Caenorhabditis elegans: one gene and its partner. The protein of the gene in region 1 purifies or fractionates together with the protein of each later gene. This does not show direct contact. Each region holds a gene or a part of one and is shown on either strand. Other genes may lie near its edges.

Evidence for each region.
Region 2: the proteins of R12E2.13 (region 1) and K03B8.6 fractionate together in Caenorhabditis elegans (co-fractionation; one large-scale study listed by BioGRID). This does not show direct contact.

The regions. Positions count from the first base shown.
Region 1 is NC_003279.8:4,172,080-4,188,023, forward strand, and holds R12E2.13 (MIR domain-containing protein), read right to left. Parts: upstream 6,369-15,944; 5' UTR 6,357-6,368; coding exon 6,232-6,356; intron 6,056-6,231; coding exon 5,952-6,055; intron 5,843-5,951; coding exon 5,715-5,842; intron 5,666-5,714; coding exon 5,576-5,665; intron 5,513-5,575; coding exon 5,339-5,512; 3' UTR 5,226-5,338; downstream 1-5,225. Other genes in the region: R12E2.11 (Orotate phosphoribosyltransferase), read right to left, coding at 769-871, 913-1,178, 1,230-1,544; mrps-6 (Small ribosomal subunit protein bS6m), read right to left, coding at 1,892-2,110, 2,279-2,357, 2,407-2,552, 2,616-2,660; rpn-8 (26S proteasome non-ATPase regulatory subunit 7), read left to right, coding at 3,244-3,363, 3,417-3,561, 3,606-3,691, 3,752-3,808, 4,276-4,404, 4,454-4,852, 4,899-5,051; suco-1 (SUN domain-containing protein), read left to right, coding at 6,782-6,810, 6,924-7,016, 7,069-7,148, 7,194-7,279, 7,332-8,035, 8,088-8,633, 8,691-8,941, 8,988-9,124 and 1 more; kel-20 (BTB domain-containing protein), read left to right, coding at 10,142-10,243, 10,730-10,807, 10,854-10,956, 11,005-11,279, 11,524-11,685, 11,733-12,836; ppw-1 (Piwi domain-containing protein), read left to right, coding at 14,483-14,633, 14,691-14,944, 15,087-15,286, 15,333-15,392, 15,441-15,559, 15,616-15,944.
Region 2 is NC_003283.11:11,396,093-11,412,826, forward strand, and holds K03B8.6 (uncharacterized protein), read left to right. Parts: upstream 1-11,491; 5' UTR 11,492-11,492; coding exon 11,493-11,615; intron 11,616-11,802; coding exon 11,803-12,435; intron 12,436-12,490; coding exon 12,491-12,649; intron 12,650-12,952; coding exon 12,953-13,033; 3' UTR 13,034-13,451; downstream 13,452-16,734. Other genes in the region: Zinc metalloproteinase nas-18, read left to right, coding at 342-506, 905-1,309, 1,373-1,436, 1,490-1,558, 1,606-1,625; Zinc metalloproteinase nas-17, read left to right, coding at 2,824-3,133, 3,184-3,368, 3,488-3,907, 3,956-4,197, 4,247-4,436; Zinc metalloproteinase nas-19, read right to left, coding at 5,103-5,250, 5,512-6,252, 6,296-6,597; K03B8.8 (Conserved secreted protein), read right to left, coding at 13,455-13,635, 14,388-14,560, 14,607-14,846; grl-3 (Ground-like domain-containing protein), read left to right, coding at 15,470-15,472, 15,518-15,787, 15,832-16,101, 16,261-16,365, 16,471-16,677.

The DNA of each region.
Region 1 (15,944 bases):
CACCATCAACCACTGCTGTTTCGCAGTCTCCGTCTCCTCGACAACACACACTCGTCGCTTCTCGCTTGCCTCGAAATGTGTCGGTACACACGTTTGGGTAAGAGGAGAGGACTCGTTGGTATCTTCGGTTTTAACCCAGTTACTCAAGGTACGCTGGAGTTCTGACCTTTCGAAAGAAAGTGTCAAACGACTTTAATTTTTGGAACCGCTCTGCTGGGGTCATCCGGTAGAGCAAAATAATTGAATCCGATTTTAAAAGTTTATTAAGTTTTATGTGCATTAATGACTGACTTGCAATTCTTAGCGAGAACTGTTGAGCTATGATAGATGGTGCGAGTTTTATCCTTTGTGAACACTATTTGGAAAAGGTTTTATTCACTTGAAATCGTTTCAGGGAAAGAACATGAGAAGATTTGATTATGCTTTAGCTAAATTCCAAAAAAAAAAATTATTAAGACATGCGGAAGAAGAATTAAACCAGGATATATCACAACTTGGGAAGGAATCAACAAGCCAAAAAATAATGAAAATTATTCAGCAAACATGGTAGAAAGTGATGAGAAGAAAATATAAACACACAAAACATCACATAAAACGCTAAACAAAAATTTAATGAAACCTTTTTTCCATTTTTTAAATTGGTCCATCAATTTTCTTGTTTTATGTGATGCGATGCATGTGTGCTAACAAGGAAGTTTATTGGAATATTATGAAAATGAGAAAACAAGTTCACAAATTGGTAGAATATGGGGTGCAACAATGAAATTTTTAGAAAGGTTTAGCAAGATGAGCAATAATCTCGTGCTTTCGTTCCTCGGTCATCTCGTTTTTCGTGATCAGGCCGTCGAGGATCTTCTCCATTGTCAAAAAGCTGAAAAAATTTGATTTTTAATTAAAACGAAAAAGCCTCACCTGAGGAAGTTAAGATTATCTTCTGCGAGATTGGCAGTTGCTCCCTGTTGTCTATCCAAAACAGCTATGGCATCAGTGACCAACAGATTCTCATTGCGAATTGCTTCTGCTGTCTCACGAATTGATTCACCTGATGTGACGACATCTTCGACAAGAAGTACTGTACCACCAGGCTGATAGACTCCTTCGATAAGTTGCTTTGTTCCGTAGGCTTTGGCTTCTTTTCTTTTCATAAGCATCGGCACATTGAGAATATCAGATACAAGCTAAAAACATTGAGTCTCATTTTTTAGTGTGAATTATTTCTGAAAACTGACGGTAGCAAGTGGAAGGGCAGCATATGGTACTCCAACAACATAATCGAATTTGAGGTTTGAGGCGACAATTTTCTCACACATAGCTTGAGCAGCCATTCGGAGCACACGAGGAGAGCTCATTATTCTGCGAAGATCTATGTAGATTGGAGTCATCTGGCCAGATTTGAGGTAGAACTCCCCAGTGCGAAAACATTCCATTTGATAGAGATTCTCGAAAAAATCAGTTTCCTGGATTGGTGAAGCGGCCTGGACTTTCATGACGACTGGATCCTCGATTGAGTGATTTCCGTTGGCGGTAGCGGTGGCGGCGGTCATTCTGAATTTTTAACAATTTTCGAATATCAATGTGAAACAGGTTATTTTCTTTCAATAGAAAAGTGAACAAATATCACTTGGTCAGATGAACCAGGTACGTGATTTGAAGGAAGAAAAATAAATAAATAAAAATGTGATATTCATGAAACAAAACAAATCAATTCAACTTTAAGAAAACAAAAATCACTCTATAAATCCTAAAACTGTACAGAAGAATCGAGAAAACAGACAACGCAAAGTACGAAAAGATAGCCTCGTTTGATAACACTATCATAAGGAGGTGTGGCCAAAAGTGCATTGTCGGCGATCTTCGACCCGTAAATTTAAGTCGATTACGAATTTCATGTCTAGGGCCTTGGCGGAGCAATTGGGTAACTCTTCGGGATACTCTTCCACTCCTTTTCAGTACGTTTGTAGATCATCTGTCGCGTGAAATGACCCATCTTTTGATTTTCTCTCAAATCCTTGACTGCTTGACGTTCGGCAGGAGATTTGAGGATTTCTTCCAGATTGCATTCAACCTTTGGAGCCGGCAGTGTGTCCACTTGAATTAGATCGACTTGAACCTGAAAAAATATGGTTCAGATTTTTGTAATGACCAAAAAGTGACAAATTAATTTAGAAAAAGAACAAAACAACATTCGAAATGAATCTAAACAAAGAAAACTTTTAAACAATAAGACCCGATCATACATCAACATCAGATAATATATAATGAAATTTAACTAACTCACCGTGTCCAGGTCATGTGTCAAAATAGACTTTGTTTTCTGTCTAGCTTCCCGAGACATGTGCGCCTTGAAGAGGAAGAAACTGCAAAGAACAAACAATTTTTTTAAGATATATAGTTTTTAAATATTACTTTGAAGCGTAGACGGGCTCATTTGTCTGTTTGGCCAGCCGTTTATACGGTAAATCTCGATGACCCAGTGACTCAACCTTTTCAATTACTGCTCCGTGATCCAGCAAAGTGTTTCCAGCACGCGTTAAAGCTTTAACAAGATCTGCCTGAAATAAAGAATATTCTCATGATTATACACATTCTCACGCTTCATCGTGTTTTTTCTGTACCTTTGACAGAGATCGTGTGATCATGCTCACTTCATAAAACGGCATTGTTGTTCTCGCCCAGTATGAATGCTTTTTCTTCACTGAAAATATTTTCTATGCTACGAATTTGGAAATATGTCAATGAAAATCACGATAAGAAATCACAGCACAAGCTATTTTTCCAAAATAGGAAGTTGCCATTTTTCAACGACAGGCTGTGAACACAAGATTATTAAACAAAAATTTACTAGAACAATAAAATAAATGTTCAATTTTCAATTTTTCGCATTAGAAAGTTAATTTTCCGTCATTGCAATCGAAAAAAGTTAATTTTAAAGTAAAGAACCAGGAAAAATAAAGTGGAAATACGGGATGGGTCTCACCACGGCCAGTGTCGATTTACGGGGAAATTGCATGCGCCTTTAAACGATGATATTTCTTTTTTGAACGGGAAGCGGGAAATTGTCGTTTTTAAGCATTATTTATTTATTTCTTTTCATTTTTTCATTCAAATTATATTCTAGATACGTTTATGGCAGGTTTTTCCGCAATGATTAAGCGTTTCTCACTGTTATGTCGATTATTAACGTGTTAAACTGTTATGTGTTGATTTTTTATTGTGATAAATTTATTTTCGTTTTTTAGAAGAATGGCTCCAACTAACAAAGACGGAGATGTGGCGACTGTCAAAGCTGTAGATGTTCTCAAACAAAAGGCTGGAGCCCATCATTGCCTTGGAAATGTTCATGCAAACCTTCCCGTTAATAAGGTTAGCATACCTGAGCGAGAAAATTCGATTTTAAATAAACACAATTATTTAAGGTGACCGTCCATCCATTGGTTCTTCTGAGTGTTGTTGATCATTTCAATCGTGTCAGCAAAACTCAAAGCGTGAAGCGTGTTGTTGGAGTCCTTTTGGGGTCCATGAAAAAGGACAAAACTCTGGATATTGGAAACAGTTTTGCTGGTATTTTTAAAAATTTATTTGCTTACTTATAAAGTAATTTTCAGTTCCGTTTGATGAAGATGACAAGGATAAAAGTACATGGTTCCTCGACATGGACTATTTGGAGAGCATGTATGGAATGTTCTACAAGGTTGGTGAATTTTGAAATCTCGTTTTTATTTAATTTTAAACAAAAAAAATGAATTTACAGGTTGCCGCCAAGGAAAAAATCGTCGGATGGTATCATACGGGTCCAAAACTTCACAAGGTATATAAGAGGCAAAAAAGAGACGGGGACAACGCGCGTAGTGGTCTAGTGGCTAGCAGGCACACACTCTGCGCCTCCAGCCATTGGTTCGATTTCTCATTCCACTCGGGTTTGTGATGACTGCATACGGATCACTGGGCTCTGAATCTCTATGAACCGATAATATCCGTTCTGATACCCGTTTTTACGGTTTCATGATCGATGGAGCGCGAACTTGTTTAAATTTGAAATTATACTGTGCAAATAACAACAAAGCAAAAAAAAAAAAACTTAAAACAAATCAAATCAAAACTTTTGAAAAAAATCGAAAAAAATGCAGTGGATACCTGACAAAAAAAAAAGAAAAAACCGTGTCACAGTGTTGCGAAATTACGCTCCGCCTTACTTTCTGTGCCACCCTGATTTTTGCAAAATTACGGTGTTCAACTTCAACAGTTTAATTAATTATTTATTTATTAATTTTACAGAACGATATTGCTATCAACGAGCAATTGAAACGATTCTGCCCGAACCCGGTTCTTGTAATTATCGATGCTGAGCCAAAGAACATCGGATTGCCAACAGAGGCTTACATCGAAGTTCAGGAAGTTCACGATGTACGTTTCAAAATACTGTTTAATTTTTTTTCAATATATTGTTTTGTAGGATGGAACTCCACCAATCAAAACCTTCGAGCATGTGCCTTCAGATATCGGAGCCGAAGAAGCTGAGGAAGTTGGAGTCGAGCATCTTTTGAGAGATATCAAGGACCAAACTGCTGGAACTCTTTCACAGCGTATCACCGATCAACTTATGGGCTTGAGAGGACTGCAATCACAGCTTGAATCCATTGAGAAGTATCTTCATGATATTGTGCGCGGAACTCTTCCAGTCAACCATCATGTCATTTACTATGTTCAAGAAGTTCTCAATCTCCTGCCTGACGTCACTCATCCAGACTACATTGTTTCACAGAATGTGCAAACTAATGATCAGCTCATGTGTGTGTATATGGGATCTCTTGTACGATCGGTGGTCGCTTTGCACAACTTAATTGATAACAAGGTGATTTGCAAAGATTTTAAAATTTATTAAAAGCTATGATTTTTAGATCTCTCTCCAGAAGGCTGAAAAGGAGCAGGAAACTGGCGAAGCTGAGAAAAAGAAGGATGAAAAGGATAAGAAAGACAAAAAGGATGAAAAGAAGGATGAGAAAAAGGAAAAGGACAGTAAATCATCAACCCCTAATACTCCAAAGAAGTGATAAACAAACTCAGAACATTGATTGTATCCTCATGTCCACTTCTCCACCAATCTCTTTTTCTTTTACCCTATCGCATCATATACATTTAATTTATTCGGTCTTTTATTTTTCTGTGCATCAATGTAGTATTTTATCCCCGGTATTTAGATCAGTTGCCAATAATTTTTCAGAAGACAAAATCTAATAACTTTATTAGAAAAAATAACAAAGATAACATCCCCGTAAAGCAATGGTAAATATCACGAAGAAAGGCATGGCTTATTAAATTAGGAGTATCCAATGTGGATTTAAAGATCTTTTTGCTGATGCTTGATGTAAATGCCTTCGGCAACTTTCCATGCACTTCCACCAGTGATCGAGTCGGTGCCGACGACCTCCCGTTGTCCATGAATGGGGCGTCCGAATTGTTGTCCCGAGAGTGAGAGGTATGAACCAGTGACAGCGTGGCGAAGTTTGAATTGCTAAAGTGAACAATATAGGGTATTCAAAACGTATAGATAATATCGAAAAGGAATGTAACAAACCTCGGATTCCAACCACTCATCTCCGTTGCAAATCACAGTCCAATCATCTCCCGTGTCACTTTCTGCTTCGCTGCCAAAAGCGGAGACCTCCTTTAAAAAATCAAATTATTCATTTGTTTTCTCGAATTGCCAAACAAACCTGATGTTGTTTGGAGAGAGGTGCAGTGAAATGATGGGAATGCAGGAACGTGCCCGTGGTGAGGTGCTTCAGACGGATCTTGTCTCCGCATTTGATTGCATCTCCACGATTGCATTTTGCGTTCAAAGCTGAAGTAAGAGAATGTTCGGTTTTCTTTGTTCTTTTTTTTCAAAAAGCATTAATATACACAAATTATTATAGTTTAAGTTACTAGGCGTTAACTTCCAAATAACTAACCTGGGAAAATCTGCCAATGAGAATTGATGTCGTCCGAGTTTTTTACAGCAGTCACAGATTGTTGGCCGGACCCGCTTCCGTATTTTACGTCATGCGAATGTAACCTGAAACCTTTTTGTTTCAAACAAAATCTACTTTTTCGAAGGGAAAATGCTCATTTTCTCAGGAGATATTCTTTAATATTTACTGTTGGTGGCAACTATTTATTTAGTGTCATTAACTTTACCGAGTTTCTAATATTAGTGCAAACAATTTTAATAAAGTAAGCTGGCTCACGTACCTAGAGCCATCATTAGCATTTATAAACTTTAAAACGCTGTAGCACGTCACAAAGTCTTCATCGGCGTATGCAAATGAGGCGAAGAATAGAAGTGGAAAACTGAGTAGTAGTGGCAATTTCGGCATTATTTTGGTTCCCTGTAATAATATTCTGTTTTATTATTCCAAACTTTCTAGAATTTCATAGAGAATGTAGCAGAAAAGATTATAAAAAGAGAAGCTCCTGCAAAAATTAAATCAACGTCGCTTTGCACGAGATGTGCGTCAACCAACGTACACCATCGACAATGACGTCAGTAGCCGCTCTTGACGTACTTTGTTCCCAACACCTTGTGGTTCCGCAGTCAATTTTTTAGCTGTTTGGCGGCCAATTGACGCGACACCGCTTATAAAATTTATATCACGAGACCTTCTAATCTATGTTTGTTTGAAATCATAAGGGTCTTATCACTTTCCATTTTAAATTTGTTCTCTTTTGAAAACTTAAACCTTCTACTTACAGCTCAACAGAAAACACGACGCATGGGTGAGCGAGAAAGGTGGAACAGGTGATGAAGCTCAAGCGGTTATTGATATTTGCGTAAGTTTTTTATTGTATTCATATAAAATAATCATTTAAAAGTCGTTTTGATGAACTGAAGATGTTTTCACTAAGAATTATCCCAAAAATGAATTTAATTGCTAATATTTCAGCGTACTACTAGTACTACCCAACATAAATGCTAATCAAGAAGTGTCATTTGTAAAACACTGGAAAGACATTTTACTGACTGATGGAGAACATAGGTAATCTTTTATTTTTAAAACACAAATTCTTACAAATTTTTTGAAATTTCAGTCCAATTTGCGCATTATCTATCGATGGTTGCGCCAGGTCAGCCCCGTACAATGTTTCGAAAAAGATTATGAAGGCTTCGGGTAATAATATTTATATTTTATTCCATAAATAAAATATAAATTCAGTAAATGCATCGGAAAAGGATTCGATACCCGAGAAAAGCATAGATAACTTTGATGAATGGACGAAAAAGCGAAGAGATGCGGTTGCGGTGAGTTTTTATTTTATTCTGAGAGAATTATGTTTTAAATTCGAGTTTTTAGAACCAAAACGGACAGAATCAAAAAACAATTGAGCCAACTCAAGTTGCCCGGCACGATGAAGTTTCAATTCCGCTGCCCCCAATCACTCGTCCACCGAGAAACTTTGCCAGTCGGGAATGTGGCGCTAAAATTATCGCTGCAAATCCTGAAGCTGAGAATGCTAAAGCTGTTGTAAATGAGAAAGACGTCGATGATTATATGAGAAATCCATGCCAATCTGCCAAAGAAAAATTTATAGTTATTGAGTTATGCGAAGCAATTCAGATTAAAAAGATAGCTATTGGAAACTTTGAACTGTTCGCTTCAAGACCCAAAACAATTCAAGTTTTCATTTCTGAGAGATACCCTCCTCTCGCAAATTGGATCTCTGTTGGACCATTTCATCTGCAGGATCATCATAAGAATTTGCAAACTTTTGATGTTCCAAACACAAATGTCTATGCAAAATATGTCAGGATCAACCTAGAAGATCATTATGGAAAAGAACATTACTGCATTGTTTCGGTTGTTAATGTGATGGGGAGTACTTTGGCTGACGAATATGACAAAGAAGAAGCTGCTGCTCATCTTTTAAATGTAATTGAAGAAGTGAAGGAAGAGCCAGTGACAACTCCGCCACCATCGGAGCAGAAAATGCAGACACAGCTTCCAGTGCCACCGAAATCTCCGAATCAAACTGTTTCAGCACGAATGAAATCAGTAGAGTAAGTTTTCTTTCCAAAAAGCACCGAATTAATTATTAATATTTAATTTCAGCTTCCGTCAACTGAAATCGGTTTGCTCACAATGTTCTGTAGGGAAAGTTTCCAACCTCATATGCCATATTCTTCCAATTCCAACGAGAGTAAAGAAAAATGATTTAGTCAAGCCTCCGAATAACCTGAAAACATCCACAATTAAGCCTGCAGTTACGGATAAGCGAGACCTCAAGACAGAAATCGGATTGTGGGCAGAACGAAGTCGGCATTCTAATTTCGAACAGTCTAGGAGAAGAAATTTGGCAACAATCCAAAGACTTCACCCGAAAGATGTGCAAAAAATTTCCACAGCACCTGATGTTCCGACACCTAAAGCTGAAAATATCGAAAAACCCACTGAAAAGCCATCGGAAGAGGTTAAACCTCCAGCTCGAGAGCAACCACAAGTTTCCTTGCCTCCAAAGCCGAAATCTGAGCCGATTCTGCCCGCCGGAGGATCCACTAACCAACGGGAGCTGGTTCTTATGAAATTAAGCAAACGTATTGCAGCAGTTGAACTAAATTTAACACTGAGCTCGGAGTACCTTTCGGAATTAAGTAAACAGTGAGTAAATCATTTAATATATTTTTTAGAACGATTAATAAAAATATAATTTCTCAGGTACGTATCTCAAATGAGTGGATATCAACAAGAATTAAAGGAAACTCGTAAAGCTTCCAAGAAAACCGCCCAAACTGTCGAGGCAATGATGAGATCGAAAATGAATGGTGTGAAGCGGGAGTTGCGTGATCTGAGGCAGTCTGTATATCTCCTCCAAAAGCTAGAGAATAGTCGATACAACAATGTACAAAGTGAAATGAGTCGACAAGTTCTTATGTCTTCCTGTCATATTAGCTCGAATGTTCCGCCAAGTAAGATTTTTTGAAGATGAATCAACTTTATTTTTCTAATTTTTAGGTCCAACGATAGCTCGGCTACCTCTAATTATTCCCGCTTTGAACAGAAAGCTTGAAAACTTCACGAACTTTGAGGAAAGAATGAAAAAGATTTACGAAACTGCCAAATCGGTGATGTTCGGTTCACTGACATGGAATGTAAGTTTACCAACTAGGTAACTAGAAAATCCCGTAACATTGAAATTTTCAGACTGATCATCTAATTGTGGCTTTAATATCATTCAACATCATGGCACTATCATTTCTTTTTGCTGGCGTCTTCTACATTCATCGAAGAAATAAGGAAAGATGCGAAGAAACTCAAATCATTGTGAAAAACGAATTGAGAGCTCGAATCGCGAAAGTTGGAATAGAGAATCGCAAGCTGATCTCAAAAGGAATGCGAAGAGCAGAGCTGGCGGTCACTGCGGCTGTTTCATCTGCGTTGAAGATTGAAAAGACGTCGAGTAATCGCAGTGCGATGACAGAATTAGAGACGGCACTTGCGAATTTGTTTGAGGCTCAACAGACGCGGATTGAGGAGCAATTTGAGCAGAATCAGAAAATGCTCCGAGACGCTTTGTCGGAAAGAAATGGATCCCGATTTGATGATACTTTAAGCGTGGAGGACAGTGAAAGCTCGTCGGAAACGGAACATTCAAAGGAGGATACACCGACTTTAAATGCAGATTAGAAAATTACTGTAGTATTTATTCATAACAAAGCTTGAATTTGTAGTAGATTACTAACTTGGTGACTAGCATTCCATACGAGTTCAATTCTTTCTTTCTCTTTCCTTCCTTTTCCATCACTCTCGCCCATTTACAATCAAATTGCCCTCTTCCCCCATACCGATTGAATTGATTTCGTTTGTACAGGTTTTCGACATTCAATGTCGCTTATTATTCTCCATCCTGAACCATTTTTCAGCTTGCTGTGCATGCTTTTCTCCCCCAATTTTACTGTGAACAGGGTCTCCTCGCCGTCCGGTGTGATATATTTGCCACACCGAATTGATTTACTGATTCAGATCTTTCCATTATAATTTTATTGTCACTGTAATTTTCCATGAATTTTTGTGTACTTTTTCTTGGCATTTGGTATTTTATCGAGTTATATTCTCTAGCTAGATATTTGAAATTTTCAAGTCAAGATAAGAAACATTATAAAATTCAGATGAGAGGGGGTCAGGAGATTTCGGATCCCATGGATCTTCCGTCGACATCACATGACTCAGCCGATATGTTCGAATCGAGGAAACCACAGAGCAAGTATAAGGTAAGGAAGGTCTCAAAACGACACTTTTTTGTTAAATGAGAAAATGTGTGCGCCTTTAAAAAGTACTGTAATTTTAAACCCTTGTTTCTGCGAAATTTGTATCGATTTTGCATAAATTTTCGATAAAAATATATTAACTTATGTATAAAAAAAATCAAATTTGACAATTTTAACACATAAATTTTGAGAATAAACTAACTGAGAGTTTGAAATTACAGTACTCTTTAAAGGCGCACACCTTTCCTCATTTATCAAAAAAAATTGCCGCGTCAAGACCGGAAATCGTATTTTCAGCGCAAAATTCACAAAGGACAGCCAGGAAACGTTTTGTTTCAAAAAATTGAAATTCCAAAACTCATTACCAATATCAAAAATTTGGAATAATTGAAAATCAATTGTTTTTTCGTGACGAATCCCATTCAAAAAAATCCATGCGCCTTTAATTTCGAGTTACAGATATAATAAACCTAAAAATTGAATTTTCAGAATTCTCATTTCGCAAACTCCGTTCTCCAACAACTCGGTGGGCTCAAAAATCGCGATGTGCTCTGTGATGTGACACTGGTATAATTTTTACATTGATTATTTATTTAATCAGTAAAAATTTCAGATTTGCGGCTGGAAACGAATAAATGCACATCGAGTTGTGCTGTCTGCGTGCTCTCCATACTTTTTGTCAATGTTCACTTCTCAGATGGCTGAGTGTTATATGAGTAATTATTTCAAATATCAGAAATCACCTACAAAAATTAACTTTTTAGGAGAAATTAACATGGAAGAAATTGAGCCACCGACTCTTGAAGCACTTATCGAGTTTTGTTATACTGGAGCCATTGCAATTGATGACTCAAATGTTCAGGATATTCTTCCGGCGGCATGCCTCCTTCAGATTCATGAAGTTCAAACCGCATGCTGTGATTATTTGAAAAAACAGTTAGATCCATCGAATTGTCTTGGGATTCGAGCATTTGCGGATACACATTCCTGCAAAGAGCTCCTAAGTTCTGCAGATGAATTTGCACTGAAAAATTTCTCGGTAAATAATTGCTTAAAAACACTTTCCTTATTAGCCAGATGCGAAAATTTGTGATTTTTGGACCAACAATGGTCTCGCCACGACTTTGCTGCGAAATTTTCATTGATTTATTGCTTTTCGATAGAATTTTTTCTGAAAAATCGATGAAAATTCCACAACAAGGAAACTTAGAAATTACAGTACCCTTTAAAGGCGCACGCGAAACTCTTGGGTAATATATTTAACTCCAACTTTTTAATTTCAGAGAGTGATTGGAAAAGAGGAATTTCAAATGTTAACTGTGGAAAGCCTTACAACAATCATCAAAAGCGATAAACTCAATGCAGCTTCTGAAGAGCTAGTTTTTTCCGCAGTAATACAATGGGTCAGACATGATATTTCAAAAAGAAAAACTCATTTATCCATGGTAAGGCTACAGAGATCCAGAGCTCTTTTTATTTATTATTTCTTCAGCTGCTCTCCCATGTCCGTCTGCCTCTATGCACTCCGAAGTTCTTGGTGAGTGTGGTCAGTGAGGAGATCCTTGTCAAATCGGATCCAGCGAGCCGAGATTTAGTTGACGAGGCAAAAAACTACCTGCTTCTTCCCGTGGAGCGTCCGAATATGCAAGGTCCTCGAACGAAACCCAGAAAACCTCTACAAGGATCAGAAGTTTTGTACGCTGTCGGAGGCTGGTGCAGTGGAGATGCGATCGCTTCGATCGAGCGCCTGGATCCAATGAAAGGAGGAACCACGTGGAAGTGTGTGGCTCCGATGGGAAAACGAAGATGTGGAGTTGGAGTTGCTGTTCTGGAGAATCTTTTGTACGCTGTGGGTGGTCACGATGGACAATCATACTTGAATAGTATAGAAAGATACGATCCAATGACCAATCAATGGAGTAGTGATGTGGCACCAACTGCCACATGTCGAACGAGTGTTGGAGTAGCTGCTTTCAACGGATCTCTGTATGCTGTAGGAGGTCAAGATGGAGAAAGTTGTCTTGATGTTGTCGAAAAGTATGATCCACGGAAAAACGAGTGGGCGAAAGTGGCCAGTATGGGAACTAGAAGGCTAGGAGTTTCGGTTTCAGTTGTTAATGGTTGCATTTACGCAGTTGGTGGATCAAATGGACCCGCACCTCTGAATACTGTAGAAAGGTATGATCCTCGAGTTGGAAAGTGGGAAGAAGTTCGACCGATGCTAACCAAACGAAAGCATCTTGGAACAGCGGTTTATGATGGATACATTTATGCGGTTGGTGGAAGAGATACCACTACAGAACTCAACACGGCGGAGAGATACAGTGTCGAAAGAGACGAATGGCAACCGGTTGTTGCCATGAGTAATCGGAGAAGTGGAGTCGGAGTGGCGGTTGTTGGAGAGAAGCTTTATGCGGTTGGAGGATTTGATGGACAGACTTATTTGAAATCTGTGGAAATTTTCGATAAAGATACGAATCGATGGAAGACGCACTCGCAGATGTTCTACCGACGGCTGGGCGGTGGAGTTGGTGTCGTCAGGGTGGCAGATGCTCCGGAAACAGAATTACATGCAGTGAAACGACGGGATTTATAATTTAAAATTTTGATGTTAAATAATAAGTGTACATAAAAAAGAAAGTTATCTGATTTTTAATAAATATTTAAAATTGATTCAAAAATTATGCACTAATTTGAAGTTCAAATTTTGAAGACTAAAATATTTTTAACCAAAGAATCGATGGAATCCAGGGTAATTTTCGTGAACTTTTACATTTAAATTTTCTTTACGTTTTAATTTTCACGTTTTCAAACAAAAAAGCGACTTCTTGACAAAAAGTAATTTATTTCGAACATTTCCATAGAGGAAAGCAAGTGTTCTCTTCGAAAGCCAATCTTCAATTTGAAAAGGTTTGTTTTTGTTCTACTCAAATAAGTTGGTCAATAAGTTTCAATTTGACCTACAAGGACACCGCGGTGGCGGGAAGAAAAGAAGGCTAATGTCACTTCGTTATTTGTTTCTTTTTGAAATCTTGTGGCAGGTGGCCGATGATTAAAATGGTTTCTTTTCCGCCGACGGTTTTTGATTTAGTATTCTTTCTTTGCTCGCAATTCTTCGTTGATTGAAGAGACGGAGACTGGCATGGCAGTTCGTTCTGTTTTTTTTTCATTCGACACGCGTAGAAAAATTATGTTGTTTGCGCTGAAATACATATTTATCGATTGATTTCAGCGCAAAACAGAGACACCACGGTTTCAAGATCTGATGGTTTTCCGGATCTACCATTTCCGGATCTACGTTTTCCGGATCTACGTTTTCCGGATCTACGTTTTCCGGATCTACGTTTTCCAGATCTGGCACCGTGCCAACTCTTAAAACGCTATTTTTTCTAAGAAAAAAGTGACAACGATGCTCCGATGTTACGCGTCGCGTATTGTTAAGCGTTTATTCTAGAAGAAAATTTCGAAAAAAGTCGTGCGTTGAAAAGCGTTTTGTGCGTTGGCAGGTGCCAGATCCGGAAAACGTAGATCCGGAAAACGTAGATCCGGAAAACGTAGATCCGGAAAACGTAGATCCGGAAAACGTAGATCCGGAAAACGTAGATCCGGAAAACGTAGATCCGGAAAACGTAGATCCGGAAAACGTAGATCCGGAATCCCATCAGATCTTGAAATCGTGGTGCCTCGCAAAACAATTAATTCTCTTGAGACTACGGTACACAATTGCGGAAGATTACTGTAGATGGAGCCGGTGTTTGCGTACTTTTTTGGGCCAGAGATATTTTTCTAGAGAGTTTAAAATGTTTTCATCGCTTTGTTCGTTTATTTTTGTCTGTTTATTGTGATTTTGTGCGAAATTAATGTAAAAATTTCCATATCCAACACTGTTGTGTGATTATTTCGGATAGATAATTAATTTTCAGCATGTTGAGTTTAGCTTTCGTCGTCCAATTGAGCTTTTTTTGATTTTCAGTCAAGATTTTCTTTCGCCTTCCGCTTTTTGACTTTTCTACGCAGTAATGACCAGTCTTGATTTCTAGCTTTTAGTGTATGGTTTCCCATTCGAATGGCGCCATTCTGTTATTACATGAGTCACACTTTATCACTAATATACATGCAGCTTAATTTTAGAGTGAGCAAGCCGCGAGTATTAAACCAGCGCTGTTTTAAACTGATAATGATTGCACTTTCCTTCATTCTCACCGAATATCAATTTTCATTCATTCCAGAGTCTCTCGAACCATGGAAAAACAACTAGAAGCTATGTTCGTCTCGGACAGACCTGCTGCCCCAGCTGCCCAAAAGCTTGGTACCGCTCCGCTCGCTGCAAAAAAGACGAGAAATGTGGAGAGGGGAACCAAGGTCAATATCGATACCAACATTCGCAAATTGAATAAGTTTTTATTTTACAATTACGAGTCGTTCGAGCTCACATATCAATATTTTTCAGCGATCAAACCGAATCAGCCAATTTACAAGTACGCTGTGCAAGTGAACTACGTCTTCCGGAAACCTGATGGAACTGAGGCGACAATCGAAATGTCCAAATCAGCCAAAAAGGGAACGGAGCACGACAACGACAAAACACGCTGCCAGAAGGTTTACAATGAGGCGATCAAGCGTTACGATGAGCTGAAAACCGGAGGACCGTTTTTCTACGATCGTCAAGCCTCTTTGTACACTCTGACCAAATTGAAGAATGAGGTGAATTCGATCAAGCGTTACGATGAGCTGAAAACCGGAGACCGTTTTTCTACGATCGTCAAGCCTCTTTGTACACTCTGACCAAATTGAAGAATGAGGTGAATTCGATTTTTTGCTTAAAGTTTAATATTTTGCGTTTCAGAGCATCTCTTTCGTTGTTACTGACAAGATTTGCAAGCGACAAAACTTCAAAGAGGCACAGTTTGTTCTCAAAAAGGTTGATCAATCGTTCCAGTCAACATCGAATGACGTCATCAGGACAACCAACTCGTGCCCAGCCAATGCCGACAAAACTTTGCTTGAGGCAATGAACATCATTGTCTCGGGACCAGCGTTCGAAAAGTATGCCGCTTTCAGAGATAATCAAGCTATTTCATCTCGTTTTCAGCAAAAATGTTATCACCGTTGGAGCATGCGTTCATTACCTCATCGACCCAACTGTAGTCGAGTAAGAAACTAAGAAATTATCGTATTAGTATTTAATTGTTTTTTCCAGCGTCGCGTACAAGGAATACGCTGAAGGACAACTCTACTCAGGAGTTGGTGCTTCAAAGTCGGTGAAGACATTGGAAGGAACGGACAAGAAAGTTCCATCACTCTTCATGACAACTGAAAGTTAGTTTTTCAGAAAATCTAGATTTTCAAAATGTTATAAAATTGTTAATTTTCAGTGAAGACAACATTGTTCCATCCGGATTATGCCCCACTTGTGGAACTTTTGCAAACGTTCAGAGGTTTCAGCACAACTCTCAAAGCGAATTCTCCAGCCGCGCAGAGAATTGAGAAAGCCTTTGTTGGACTGGATGTTGTCTTGAATTACGGTGTGCACAAGGGTCTCGGAGAGGATGGTGTCGTTATGAAGATCCGTCGATTCCACACGTCAGCTAAGGAGACATGTTTTGAAGTTGAGAAGTCAACTCGTGAATTCACGAACGTCTTTGACTACTTCAAAAAGAAGTATGGAATCACTTTGAAGTATCCCGATTTATTCACCATTGAA
Region 2 (16,734 bases), on another chromosome or scaffold:
AATTCACTTTTGTGTGAAAATATGTCTCAAAGCAATAATATGTTCGCAAGAAATTGATTAATACATCTTATGTAGACACTTTGGCAGTTTCAGAATACTCTTTTCACAATCCGAGCGCGCCTGTTCCGCACTCCAGTCACGCCCTATCCTCGCGCCAGGCGCATTTCACCTCTTTTCGCGCGCCAGTCGCACCCCCTTCGCGCCCCAGGAGGAGCCAACTACCGAGTAGTGCAAAATTATTATATTGCTTTGATTCTTCATTCAGTAAGTTCTATTATATTTTGAAGTAGTGAAATACAACTTATAAACATGTACTTTGAGGTACTGAAAAGCGAGAATTGATGCTTTTCTCCATGAACTTCATATCTTCACAAACTTGCGTGACTTTTGAAGAAAACTGTTCAATTCCTAACAGGGTCCAACTTGTTAACGGTAAAGGCTGTTCATCATACATTGGGATGAATAACATAGTACAACATCTAACATTTAACGATACGTGCATAGACGTGAGTTTTTCTTTCATTTCGACATACATATGTATATTTCCGTTTCTCGGCGTTCACGACCAACTTAATGTTTATGTGTTGCCTTAACAGTGTGAAAAAAGTGGATTATTTTCTGGTAGTGGTGGGCATTTTCTAGAAACTGCAAACTATTTCCAACTAAATCAATCATTCATTTCAAGTGATTCAAGGAAAACGTATCACTTTATATTTGTTGAGGTCAAAAGTTAGACCAGAAGTTACCGGGAATGTCAAGATAATTGTAATGCATTGAAAATGTTTTTTTTTTTTGGAAAGTTTTCGATGACAGGTACAGAAAACAATTTTTCAAAACTCGAAAATTTTCCAAACACGGCACACCGAAAGAATGATAGACAGATCTCAATCACATAAACTTTCAGTTTGGAACTGCTGTTCATGAATTAATGCATGCATTAGGTGTTATTCACACCCACTCTAGACTTGATCGAGATAACTTTTTAAACATTAATCTGACAAATGTGTCCAAGGAAATGATGCATAATTATGCAATTTTCAACCAATCTACAAACGTTGTACCTTATGAATACGGAAGCACTATGCATTACTATGCGAATATATCGACAATGTTTCCCAAGAAGTCAGAATACTCTGCCACACTTGGAATAGGAAGAGTCACGTTTTATGATATGGTAATTTTAAATACTGCATACAACTGCAAATGTCCAAATGAATTATTGTGTGGAAATGGAGGATACACAAATCCGTCGAAATGCTCGGAATGCATTTGTCCGTTGGGATATGGTGGAGTCTTGTGTGATCGTCCAGTTAGTTTATTTCTTATATGACCTTCCATGTACATCGGTTTTTTAAAAATGTTTCTAATTCAGATTACTGGTAGTGTCCAGTTGAGTGCAGAGTCTTATTGGAAAGGATACTGGATTGCCATTGGAAGTAAAAGATAAAATTATTGAAGTGAAAGTTGTGGGAATAGATAATTTCTTTAGTTACCCTACCTGTCTTATTAATGGATTGGAGATCAAATATATGGGGGATCCCAGAATCACAAATCCAATGTGAGTTTTTGAATACTTCCCAATTTCCGAATAATTTTTTGTTGCAGTTATTGTTCGGCTGATTTAATCAATGGGAAATCGTTCAGATCAAAATTGAATCCGCTTCTTATGAATATTCACACACTTTTTGGGAAAAACAAAGTGACTTTCCATTACAGATATGTGACTGAACGCTTGAGTGGCTACAATAAAACAACCAATGGATATGATAACTATGAGTATTATGATTAAATTATCTTTGTCAATTATTTTCGAATAACATTTTTGAATCATCTTTTGATCTTTTGAATTATGTGAAACATTTACAAATTTGTCGAATATTCTTTCTTCTTTTGTATTAAGTAGTCTGTTATATTAAGTAGCAGTGGGGATTATGTCTGAACAAATTTTTGTTGATTCAAAATATTTAAGTCCATGAAAAAAACTACAAAAAACTTCGATTTCAGATTTATCAGATTTTTTAATACTTCCAGTCAAAGTCATGACATGTTACAAGTTTACTACCAATGCCGCATGTTGGAACATCATAATCATAACTTAAATAAACTCTTAAGAAGGAATAAAATAGTAAAAATGAAAGCTTTTTGGATGACGTCCATAACTATTCATGACAAACACTCGTATGTAATCACCCTTTGTGGATAATCTTACTATCATAGAACTATTTGGCCGGAGAACTGATTTAATAAGAAAAAGTGAAATGATATTTGGTCATAGACTTGAGGAATACTCAAAACAATAATTATGGCCGCTCCTTTGAATCAAGGGATCCAGCCATGAAGGAATGAAATTTCATCATTTGTCTGGTTACAAACGCCTGCTGAACAACACAAGGAGTTTTTGAAAATTCGTGGTGCACCAATTTAAAACTAATAGGGAGTTTTGCTCCAAGAACAAAAAACATCTTAAATGTTCAAACTGGGCGCACATGCTAGTCAGGTGTGCGCGCCAATTGCCGTTCGGCAATCGAATTTTCCGTATTTTCTTGAATTTTGGCAATCGCGGATTGCCGAAAATGGCCCATCGCTGAAAATTTCCAAAACCGGCAATTACCGAAATTTCCGATTGCCGCGCACCCCTGATGCTAGTCCAGTTCAAAGAGGATACGTAAACTTTGAACGTACAATTTCAATATAATCTAAAATTGTTAGTTCACTGGTTCAATTTTTATATATCTTCTCTTTCATTTTTCTCACGATATTGATGTATTTCTTATCCAAAAGTTGTCAGCATATTTAGTGCATAATCATGAGAGACTCATCAATATGCAAAAATATCAACTGTATAAAACAATGGAAGATGTCAAAGAAAATCACTTCGACATGTTTCTTCGACCATCTACCTTACTTCTAACTTTATTCTTGGCATTGGTTGCTGGATCAGCGATCCGAAAAGATGTGGACGAGTTTGATTCAAATAAAGGAAAAGATGGTATTGTAGATGGAGACATTATGCTTACTGAAGCTCAGCTTCGAATTCTCAATGGAACCGCAAAACGTTCAAAAAGGCAGATCACAAAGATTTGGAAAAAATGGCCAGATGCAAAAGTATTTTATTACTACGAAAATGAATTCAGTAAGTTTAAAAAAATTTATATTCAAGTTGTTATGTAAACTTAATTCCAGCAAGTCTTAAACGAGAATTGATGTCATATGCGATGGCCCATATCAGTTCGAACACTTGTGTCAAATTCCAAGAAAGTAATTCAGCAACGAACAGAATTCGTTTTACAAATACAGGAGGATGTGCTTCCTATATTGGAATGAATGGAGGAGAACAAACCTTGTGGTTCGGAGATGGATGTCTTATCGTGAGTTTGAGACGACTTTGAAAAATTAGCTGATTTTGAGATTAGTTAGAGTTCAACCTGAAAAATATGTTTAGCTGATGTTACAACGAACCCCCGTATAAAATAAGAATTAAATTTAGTTTGGTACTGCTGTTCACGAAATCATGCACTCTCTTGGACTGTTCCACACGCACTCTCGTTTTGATCGTGATAACTTCCTGTCGGTCAGCTACAAAGATGTTCCTGAAAATATGGTTGGAAACTTGGAAAAAGAAACTGAACAAACGACGTACAATGCTGTACCTTTCGAATATGGAAGCACTATGTTGTACAGATACAACACCTTCGGAGAGGGAACCCTTGTTTCAAAGAACGAAGATTATCAGAAAACAATGGGATTGCGTCGAGTGTCATTCTACGATTTGGTCAATATAAACGTTCGATATTCTTGCGGTTGTGCTAAGAGTTTGACATGTGAGAATGGTGGATATACAAATCCATCCAATTGTGCTACTTGTGTCTGCCCGACTGGATTTGCTGGAACTCTTTGCAACGAAGCAGTCAGTTGTAAAAAAATAATTTGCTCACCTAAATTCAGACGTTTTCAGCCAAGTAATACTATCAAGCTCACCGCAGAATCTTATTGGAAAGGATATTGGGTTAATTTTGGGTACAGTACCTCAATTCAAACTACCAACTATTACTTGGCTTACTTGTGGATCACTGCGCCAGCTGACAAAACGATTGAGGTTAAGATAATGGATCTCTCAGGTTTCACATGCTCTTACGGATGCAATTACAATGGAGTGGAGGTTAAATATATGGGTGATCCGAGAATTACCAATCCACTGTGAGATCATTCAGATAGTGAAGGAGAACAATTATATTATTAATTTCAGACGATGCTGTGCCCAAGACACTGAATATCTGAACCAAGTCATTTCCAGCAAACAAAATCCAACACCAATTGTTATGCAACAGAGATACGGAAGCAGCAAGTTGACAATTCATTACAGATACGTTGATACTCCATTGAGCAGCAATAAGAAGTCAACTAATGGATATGATAATTATCAGTATTACGTCTAAATCACCGTCTTAATAAATCGTATTTACTATGTCGATATGGGTTTTTTCAAACATTAACACGAAGAAAGAGTATTTGAGACACTTCCTGATTGAACAATTACAAACAACTGGAGAAAAACTCTTCAATGATTTTTAGTTTTATTCTAAAAGCAAAACAAAACCTGCCGTGCTCTTGCCGTTTTCTGGAATTTATTTTAATCGTTTTGATGAAAATAAAATCAAGAAATGAGAAGACGTTCACGTGTCAGAGATATAGGTAGTTTCTTAAGGACAGACAGACAAACGTTTTGGTACCTACTTCGAAGCCGTATCAATTCAAATTGAATTGTTAGCGATTCGGCTGAAGTTTTACTTGAAACATCGAAGATAACGAGTAATGGCCTATTGAGAAAAATATTGAACTCGTTTTAAAACTAATTCCAACATCCAATCTGTTTAAAAACATTTTGTAAGTTGGGCTTTTTAGAATACCAAAAATATATGTCTACTGACTATTGTTTGAGTTTAAGATCTGATTGATACAAATTTCCAAAAACTGAGAATGGTCAAAAATATTCCAACTTTGTCATTTGTTTTATGTAGCTTGTTGAAGAGAAAATAATTAGGAAAAATAAAAGATGACGTATTCATTATTCGGGAATGAGATTAATTGTGTTCCTTGAAATGTTAACCAAGCACAACTTTGTCATTCGTGAAGCGATATTTGAATGTAACAGCTGATGGTAAAGTCGTCCTTGAGTACAATTCAATGATTGTTGGGTTGTGAGACGATTTGAACACGTTCTTGTATGGTGGTTTATCAGTACAGCAGACGCTAGATGAAAAGTTAAATTAGAAATTAAAAAAATCATCGTTATAAGAGAATATAATTGTTTCAAAAATATTATTGACTGGTTTCAATCAATATTTTTTAATGTTGGTTTATGAAAATTAAAGGGCTGAACTTTTTGGAATTTTGACGCAAATAAGTTCAGACATATTTCCAAAAAAAACAATTTAGCGGAAAAATACGTCATGTCGAGACTGGGTAATTCATTTGCTCAAGAATGAAAGCACGATTAAAACAAAAACTCACACTGGACTGGTTATTTTAGAATCTTCTTTGAACTTAATTTCAACACCGTTCACAGTACATCCAGCCGTGCATATTACATCCTGGAGTCCTTCCAGAGTAATCTCAATTGTTGAGTTAGCTTTCCCAGTTATGTACACAAATGTTGAATAAAAACCATCCGATCCTGGCTCTGGCTTGTAAGCAAATGGAATTGTTATTGATTGCCACAAATTGTTTACAGCCATTAATTCGTATGAATCTTGTTGTCTTTCGTCGCAAAGATTTCCGAAGAATCCTTTTGGACAATTACATCTGGAGCAATCCGACGGTGAAGTATATCCTCCATTTTTGCATTCCAACTGTTTGGAACACCAGCATCCGTAGTATTGATTGATTTTGTACATATCATAAAAAGTCACTCTTCTATTTCCCATTGTTTGTTTGTAGTCCATATCCAATGGATCCATAGTTCCAGGACCATAGGTGTCTGCATGGTACATCATGACACTTCCATGTTCAAATGGTCCATACATTGTTGTCATTCCCGATGGCCTGGGTCTTGCTTCGTGTACAGTGGTTGTTACTTTCATGAAATTATCACGATCAGGGCGAGTATGTTCATGAAATCTTCCAAGTGAATGCGAGAATTCATGAACGATACTTCCGATGGTATCACAACTTTGAACCAACATAGAAAGCTCTCCAATCGGCTTACTCATACTCATACCTGGTGCTCCGACTGTCGACTGACAAAGCCAGTTTCTGCAATACAACGGTTTGTTAGGAAGTCGTAAATGAAACAAACTGTTGCATCCGAATCTGCACACGCTGTACAGCATTTTGATCCTCATTGAACCTGATGCAAGTGTGATTTGCAATGTAAGCAATCGCACTTTCAACCATCTCTTTTATTTCATTGTTCTTGTCCGCATAATAATAGTTAACTACTCCATATGACCATTTTGTTCCAAGACGTTCGAATTGTCTTTTAACTCGTTTATGAGAGTAACTTTCTTCGATATCATGCTCATTGAGCCGAGAAAGTCCGCAGTAGGCGTAGGAAAAGAGTAGAATAATAGCTCCAATAAGATGAATCAACCGAACCATCTCGAGATGCTGAATGATATTTCCACCAGCAATGTGTTCATTTATACCGTTTTCAACCTTATTCTTATACGAAAAATCGAGGGGAATATGTAAATCGGTGGGGAATTTTTCATATAAAACTACAATATTTTTCATGTGTCATAACGCCAGAAGGAACATTTAAATGGAGACGTTATACATAGTTCAAAAAGTGAATAAAATCTTCAAACAGTGCATGGTATAAGAGTTTTAAAACTGTTTCTGGAAGATTTCAGAAGATGATATATTTGAAACGACAATTAATGAATAAACCGTCAAAGTAAATCAACAGAAATGCAAAACTAATGGATAATATGCCGTAGTTTTTCGAAGAAAAATAGACGCATATTTTCAAAATTGAACTTTTAATTTCCAATAGTAGTCTGAATATTTTTAGATACATAATCTGATTTTAATACTGATTCCTTATTATGAAAATTCACTGTACAACGAGCCCTTCTACTCCGTCTTTTTTAATTACTATCACAATCCAAACATCATTATCACCTGCAAATTTGAAGGCTTTACGACTACCATTGCCGCACCAAATTGGGTATATCAGACACTGATAAAATAGTTTAGAGACACAAATATAATAAGATTACACGTGTGATTTCGCGCGTTTTCCTTGTGTCTTTTCGCCGATAAGGTTTTAAAAACACAATACAAATAGAGTGATCACTGAGAGCTACAGCACTCAAGATTGGCTTTTGTCTACATCGATCCTTCCGTCTCGAATCACCCCCCCCCCTCTCTCCAAATGGAGACCACCCATACTGTTAACCAATTTTGTATTTCAGGTTTTTGTGATATGTTTTTTATTGTATTTTGGCAACGTGCCAGAACTGAACAAATAATGCGGAACGTCATCGTACTAGACAGAATTTTGTATTGTATTATAGAGTGCGTTTTGTTGTGACTCTTTCCTATTTTTTCGGTGCTGTCAATGCTGGGAAAGAAACAAAAATAGTTGGAGACGGATTCATCGTCGAGCTCTCTATACTATTTGGTATGTATTTGTTTTCTGTATATGTATCACATTGCGATCCAATTATGATACCCTTTCCAAGATTGCGCCATATATTGAGGAGGTGCGTCCTCCTTCTTTTCTTTCAGTGTCCATTGTGATAAGGGCGCCAATGTTTGTTGTATACGTTTGTGTGTGTGAGTGGGGGTATGTGTAGGTGATACTCGGTGGCCCGTTGCTTTGATAAGCAAACTACTAATTTTTGATGAGTTTGTTGAAACATCATACCACTGATAACAAAGAATATAGTCCTTCTTTGGACCATACATGTTATCATATTATTTCTAACATTTGTTTTCTGAAAGAAATTAGTTGAGTTTTCATTCATTGTGCATATTCTGAATGCTTAAAACTCTAGTGTCATGCATAATGTAACAGTGTAAAGTAAAAAAATCTTTCTAATTGTAGTGCATCCGATCTCCATTTGGCATGCAGTCGATGGAAATAACAGTATGTAGCTGAATTCGTATCTCCAGCGCAAATGACTTTACACAGGAGTTACATTTTTTATATTGCAATCTACTTGTAAAAAACATGTTTTTCAGTTTATTCACAATTTCAAATTATTTCTATATGTTTGCAATTTTTAAATCACCAAAAAAAAATTCAAAATGTGAAAATTTTTTGAGGTAATATGAATGGATTTTTACAGTTGTAGTTATTTTCTCATAACTTTTAAAAATATCTCGGATCGCCCTGAGACGTTTCATTAAAGAAACCGTCCCAAAAATAAATATTAATCGAATTTGATTTAAAAACTTTGATGCAGGTTTTATTGATTGGCATTCTCTTTTAAAAATATTTTTCTGCTGTTATAACTGTTAGCTTTTCAGTGACAAAAAACATAGCTTAATCCCATTAATTTTGCAAAAGTCTGATCTGTTTGATGAACTCAGATTTGCGAGCATTGTCTCCTCCATTCAACAGTCGCCGACGCCTCGTAATTGTGTAGCGGCGTGAGCGATTCTCTCGAAATTATGATAAGCAAACAAGGGTGAACATGCAAAAGCCGCTTCTTCTCTTTTCTTTATATTCTTTCCGTTCTTGGCCACATTGCGCGTCCTTTTTCTGTTTTACTCTCTAGCCTTCCGAATGAGAGTACACCACGGTTTTTTGCTTACTTTTTTGATTACTGGCTCTTGCTCAAATTGTTTGTGGGCATTTTCGCCTCCTTTTCACATCGTTTAGTCATTTTTCTTCCTCAATTGTCGTTGATAACACTTTTTGTTTTGGGAGGTTCCCATTGTTACAAATGTTTTTTTTTTGAAAACAAATTTGTTTCTGGAATTCTATTATGTAATTCTACATCGAATGTTTGCCAGTCGATGATATAATCAGTTTACTACGTTTACGTGTGTAACATTCTAATGGTCTGACTGTAACGATTGTCAACGAAATGATAGTGAGCAAAAATTGAAATATTCAGGTCAGATAGTATTGGTATATTTGGTAGTTAGGGATCAGACAGAATTTTTTGTGGAATTCAAGTTTGAATTTTTTAAATTCCCATTTTTATGAATAAAATGAATGAAATTGATCGATCTAATGCACAGATGTGAAATGACTACTGTATTTTACCATTATTTGAAAACGTTTGAATTATGTTTCCAAAACGCTATTCTCACTTCAAAGACTGAATTTTCTGCCATAATTCAAGAACTAGACCAATAAGTAATATTTTGCCTAGGTTGATCCTTAAAGAGTAAACATGAAATTTTTTATAATGTTTCAAAAATAAATAAATGATGGTCATCACTTGAAGTTTTTGTTTTGGAAGTATGTTCACACTGTTCAAAACGACCTTACCCGAATCGCCTGTCAGAGTATTTTTTTTGGAAAATAGGAGTACGAGTGGTGTTTTTCAATGATAAAATATAAGCTTCTCGGTAATCATTTTCATAGACGCTTACGTTGCAACTTTTCCGAAAACTGACCATTACCCTATTCCACAAGTTTTTCTTTCATTTCTTTCTTTTTACCGTCCTTTCTGTTCATCTCCAGTCCCGACCTTTTATTTCAAATGGATAGATTCAAAAACGCACGTTTACTTTGCACTTTTTGATTGTTCTTTTGCAATACTACAGTAAATCGTGTGAGCAACCTTTTATGGCAACCAACACCGCTTTTGCAAACGAGTGGACGTGAGAGCCAGATAATCACCATATCTCTTTTTGTGTGTGTGTATTGATGCCGACTTTCCTTCAAAAAAGTCAAAAGACATGTTGTCGGAGAGTTACAAAAGAGCAACTCGTCATTCCTGATGAGCACACTTCACGCGCCGAGCCAAGCTTTTCAGTCAGTGTTCAGCCGACTTGCCCCACGACCGATGCATGAGCCACTCTGTTCTTCGGAAAACAAAAGTGTCATGGTTGAACAAGGAGCCGCACACTTATTGTACAAGGCATAATTTGAACAAATAATTTCATGTGGCGGGTGGCGACTGTCTCAGCGGCGAGGAAGACCTCCCGGCTCTTTTGTATCGCAAACACGTTCAAATCAGAAAGAAAAGTTGAAGAGCAACGGGAAAGAAAGAGATATGTATGGAGTTGAAATGAGAGTAATGGGGAAAAATATCAATGTTATTCTCTATTCAAACTTTCATAGACTGTGGTGTTTGATCCTTTAGAGTTCTTCTTTTTGAAATTTCATATTCATTCAGATGAACGTATACAAAAATTATGGAAAAAGTCGTAAAAAAGTTTTTAGAATTATCTAAAACACAGAAAATATATTCAAAATATCACTTGAACATCGTTTTCGTAAAAACCATGTACAATAAACATAAAAAGCACTTCGCATGAAAATTTAATTTTTTGACCCTTTTTACTATTTCAAGTCAAGTCTAGACATTTGCAAGATGTCATACCCAACATTTTCTCGTAAGAAATCATTTCTTCAACCTACTTGACTTGGTAATTCAACCGTTTTTCACACATTTACCATCCTCATCTCTTCTATTCTTGTCCTTTTCTTTCGTTTTCTTTGCGCACGTATCGTAATCTCGTGTTATGCAAAATAGGGGTACTTGTTAATGCAGACGTTGTGGTTTCATACCTCTCTTGATCTTCTCATATTTCTCATATTTTGCAAATTGCCGTCGGCTATATTACTTTGATGTCCCAGACGATATCTCATGATTTTGTTTAGAAAAATCTATTTTTGATCGTAAATTTGTAAAAATAAAATGGTAGCCGATGGTAGATAATGGAAAAATGTTTACGTTGCTTGCTTTTTAACAACGGGGATATTGAAGGTTAGGAGTGAGAAATGTGTCATCAAGGATTCTTTTTGTAACTTTACTCTAGACTGTTGGAAGGGCAGAGGTTTTAAGAAAAAGAATATGACAAATAGAACTTGAAACGTAGGATGTGAAACATCTGATCGTAATAGTCCGAAATTCACAACTCAGCGGGTTCAGTTTCATATAAGATAAAATACAATATTGATTTTAAGGGCATCTTCTTCTTTTTTCCTAACTGTATCAAATTTTTATCAAACCTATTTGCTCAAATATTCTTCCTTTTCATGTTTGAAAGTTTTAAAAGTTTTCCGTTCGACCTCACTTTTTTCCTCCTTTTCTGTCCTTTGAAACTATCTTGCTCGTTCTCGCCTTTTCTCAATTTAAAAAATGCTCATCTGCCACATACCTCTTCTATGTTCTCTGTCTCTTCATCTCAAACATTGTCTCTACTTGACACTTTGCCTGACACCATCTCAATGTGTGTTGGCCGTGTGTATGAAAGAGGCGTGGTTTGAGTCTGTCTGGAGGAAACCATGTTGTCTTTTTCATTTTTCCGTGCCCTCTCTTCATTGTAAAATATTTATGAAGAAACATTATTTTAACTTCAGAATGAGGAAGCCACTGGTGGTATTGCTGTTGATACTGGTGACAACGGTGGAGAGTCGATTCGTGGACAAAATGGTCAATTCAGAAATTGGAGACACCTATTACAAACACGAATCGGATCCAATAGTAAGCTCTTTTCAAAAAATTTGCTTCAATGAGTGAAAACTAGTAATCTGAAGAAGAAATACATTGTCCGAAATTTAGAAGTGAACTAGCGAAGTCTCTGTTTTTTTTTATTTTATTTTATTGTTGCAGCCTTCTTATAGAAGGAATTTTCTAATTTTAAACAAATGTTATATTACTTATTTTCTAGATGATCGACGACAAAGATGACGCACCTCAATACGAAGTAAATTCGGAAGAAGTTCCAACTTTGCCACGTATGAATAGTCAGACCAAATGGGAAATGATTCGTGCCAGTGGACAAGATCCAACAGTCCGTCGTAGAAAAAACAAGCAGCATCGTCAGCAGAAAGTCGTCCTTGGACGTGAACGTCGTGACTTGATCCTTGCTCCATGGAGAATCACTCATGTTGTTCCGAAAAAGAAAGAAGCTGAAGTTCCAAAGAAAGCAATGGCTCTGTCATTTGATGTCTGTCCTGAAAAATTCGATGCAATTACAAAGGGAATCAATGGAAGAACCTATGTTTTTGCTCGCGAAAGGGTTTATCAAATTTGGTTTGAAGACGGACTTCCACAAAAAGCGTCTTACTTGATCAGTGAATTCTTTGCTGGAGGACCGAGAACTGTGACCGCCGCATTGACAAATTCTCGATCTGGAGTCACAATTCTCTTTGATGGACGAACTGCATACAGATTCCGTTGGAACAGAAAACATCGTAGATTCCAGCTGGCGAAAAATACCCCACAAGATCTTCCCCGAAACATCACAATCCATCCATTGTCAGCATTTGAATGGGCCGATGGAAATCAAGTTGTTCTCAGTGTGAGTTGATATCAATCTTAAGAAAACCTTCTTGTCATGGTTGAAATGATTTCAGGGTGAACACTTCATCATCTACGACGCATACTGGAACTTAGCCACATTCACAGGCCACACACGCAAGTATTTCCCAAATCTGCCAAGGGATCTACTGGGAATCGTGTACAACGGAGCTGGAGAAACACTTTTGATGTACACCAAGACAAACAAGTTAAAGGTATTCTTTCCGCAATATTAAAATCTTCGGCAGTCGGCCACTTTTTTCCGCTGGCGATATTCTCAATTAAACAGTACTTATATTTACGAAAATCGGCAGCCCCGTCAATTTCCGATAAGTTTAAATTTTCAGAGAACGCCAATTGCCGAAATTATCGGGAAAATTTATATCTTGAGTTCAGCATACGTATCAGCTTTTAGAGCATTCATAACTCTCTCGATAGCGACTCTATAGTAACAATTTTCAATAGGATTCCAACTTTGCTGTTGAAATATAAATCGATCTTTTATGTTAATTTTTCAGGTTTACAACACGAAGAAGTTCAAAGTAGTACAAGAATATCCGCTGAAACTGTCTGAATTTGTCGGATGTCAAACTAGATGATCTGCTCAATCTGTCTTCATGCCTTTCTATCAAATCTCTCCCATTTCCGATGATCTGATCCTTTCATTCGTTTCCTTCTCAATCTTAAGATCGATCGATTTTGCTTTTTTGCTTTATTTGTTTTTTTTTCTAATTTTGTTTCTTTGCTTACTCACTTTTTATGCCCAATTCAGTTCTGAGCCGGTGTCTTCGAATCAGAATTTCAACTTCCTGTTTCTAACCCAATTAAATCCTAACTCACATTTTAAGTTTTCTACTTATTCCCAACACCCACAGTCTTAAGTTATTTTCCCTTCCTTCACCGCCTTTTCTTAAAAACGTTTTACGTGTATTTTTGTTTTATCTTTTCATGACTTTTTATATTTCAAGTTGTCATTTTCTTCATTTTGCAACAAAAAATAAATCAAATCTTCGCAATAGTTCAGCGTCGTCGACGTCCTAACACAAATTCCATGACATTATCCAGAATGTTATCAGTCATACTTCCAACTCGTCCCATCAGACTATACGACGGCGGAGGATACATCATTGGTGGATAAGGAGGAGGTGGGTACTGGTAATTTGGCAGTGGATCAAATCCTATTGGCCGTTGATTAATTGGTCTGAAATATACTATTATTTCTCAATAACTGTGTCTGCATTACTTTATTAAAAGTGGAATGTAAACTGACAGTTTTCAACTTTTTATTAAAAACTCTGCAAAATAAGCAAAGGTGACTGAAAGGGGCCAAATTTCCATACCATGCACATATGGATTTACTCGGAAATCATTTGTTTTGTGTTTTTTCCTTAAGCGTGATTACATTTTTTCCTTAAGCGTGATTACATGTTTTTTTTCACGGAAAGAACACTTTCGACATAATTTGTCTAAATACATTCATATGCTGTAGAAATTCGGCTCAATCTACTTGTTTACGTAAATATTATAGCAAACGTGCGTTGCGTCCTAGTGGAATGTCTGAAAGCAGAGTTTACTTTGAACACATGAGTTTTAAATTAAAATTATTTGATAAAATCACAAACCTTTTTTTCAGTTCAAGAACTTTGCAAAACCAAAACTTTTTTTAAAAATTATATTATTTCTCAAGAACTATATTTAAAAATTTCTAAAACTGTGTCAATTTGATTTTTAAGTTTCGCTCTTAAAAACGTAAAAAAACTATTTTCCTTTATTTAAAGTCTTTCCATTTATTGTGGTAACAGGGCCAAAGTTTGAATGTCAAATCATTTCCTAATTGTTGACTGGTTCTATTTTCTCTTTGCAAAATACTAGAACGTAGTATAAAAATATTCTGATCCCGATCACAGTTTTGCAAAGTTTGTATTAAGTTTGTAAAATTTGGTAAAAACTCACCCTTCTGCCCGTACAATTGTGGCCGTTACCGGAGGAAAATATTCAGGAGTTGTTGTTCTTATTGGTGGATCATATTCACGAGAAGAAACTTCCAATTTCTTTGCAAGTGTTGTTTGAAGTCGCTTCATTAATCCTGATAAATTTGGAACAGGTACTGGCAATATCGACGGATTCTAAAATTGCTTATATTAATTATCAATATTTAAGTTCAGAACTTACCTCATCCACTTTGATATGAACAGTTTGTGTAGCACCGGGTGATGTTTTTCGTATAATTTCAGTGTATTTTATACCGTCTTCTTTGAAAACTCTGGATGATATTATTTCAGGCTTCCTCGTTTCAGCGTTAACTGGTGCCACCGTGATATCCTTGCCAATTGGCATAAATTCAACAGTTGTATTTTCATTTTCAGCTATAACATCAGCGATAAAAATGGAAACTAACAGTAAATAACGCATCAAGTAGGACGTTGGAAATTTTGGGAATCAAATTGAAAGATGACCGTCAAATACTTTGTGGTTAGCGAATTTGGAGTGGTTGGAGTGGCAAGGACATCTTGATAAGAGATACAAAAAATAGAACAAAAATGAGAACTGGTAATTTCTGATTAGAACAATTTCAGCCATCATCATTTTTCTAATAAAATTTAAGTTTACAGGGAAATACATAGTACGGGGAAATTTGGTTTAGTGGGAGCAAAACTAATGTACCAATTGTATTAAAATAATTTTAATCTTAATTGAATTTTCTTTTTTTTCAGTCAATGGATCCAGAAGAAGAAGCGATTCAAAAAATACAACCCGGTCGCGACACGAACAAAATAATTTTAAACAAAAATTACATAATACTTTATTTTTCATCCACAAACAAAAAAAACCAGTTTAGGGATATGTTGATTATTTTTCTCATGAAAATAAATTAACTTTACCCGTATCTTTAGAAAAAAAGAAAGTTAGACTGGTTTCAATGTGGGTCGGCGATATACTTGTATGTGTGTACATAATTAGTGAAAAAGGGGTCAAACGGATTCATTGTTGTTTTATCCCTGTCTGAAGATACCCAAAAAGAACAAAAAAAAACAATGGTGAGTTTTCTTGCTTTCCGATTGAAATAATTATTAAAGTTTCAGATTTTACTTCTATTAATTGTCTTCATTATCCCATCAGTACTAACTGCTCCTGTCAGAACTGAGTTGTGTTGTTGTGGATGTATAGAAGAACCATGTCCACTTGTTGGACCCAGTTGTCCAGCTCCACGGGCTCCATGCAATGCATCGGTTGAAACTGTAAAATGTTCCGCACTTCAGCGACTTTTTGAAATTTCTCAACATAAATTGTTTGCTGATGAAGACGATGAAGAAACATCGACTTTTCAGCCAACTCCAAGTTTTGATCATCAGGTTGTTTTTCTGTTATAAAATCAAAGTTTATTTTTTATTTTCAGAAAACAATGAAGCTTTTGCCAACATTGAACGCGAAGGAAGTTCAAAGGATGAAAAATGAAATAATGGAAATTAGCACAAATAAAACAAGAAAATCTGAAATTCGGTTCAGTCCCCCAATCGAATCTGACAGAGTAAATGGGTTACATAGAATCTCTCATATGATGAAAGAAATGGAAGGAATGTTGATGCTCATGAGAGACGAAATATCCATTCAAATTGAAAATTCAAGTCCAGTAAAGTTGTTGGAAGAAGCTGCAACGAGGACAGAGGTAATTAAAATATCAAAATTTTGCTGGAAAATTTAAAAAGTAGGTCCTGGCCGGGTTCGAACCGGCGACCTTCTGCGTGTGAAGCAGACGTGATAACCACTACACCACAGGACCACACGTTTTGACGTTTTGGCAGCAGTTAAAAAAGTTTGTTTGCAGATTGACTCTTCTTTGCACGCATCTCCCATGACAAGAGCGATAAGGCACAAGAGAGCGGAGACAGAAAACTGCAATGATGAAAAATTGAGAAAATTGATAAAAGAGGTGAGTTGAGATATGTGTTCAAACTCTCATGAAACAGTGATATGTCGGCTGCAATGTGTTCATATTTTGTTGCACAGGCTGAACTAACAATACGGAAGTTTTCAGAACATCAGAAGGGATGCAAAAAGTTCCAAAAGAGAGATTCAAAAAGCTGCGAACAAGGAATTCGGCGGACATTTTAACGTAATCTGTTCACCATGCGAATTTTCATTCGTCGTTGCGTCTCAGAAATATTGTGACGGGTTTAAGGATGACGTGGCATGTTTCGCATTCCTTCAGCCTCCAACCAAATTGAAATTAGACGATGAATAGTTTAAATAGTTTAAATCAATTTGATAATTATGTTTTCTAATAATTTAATTAATAAAT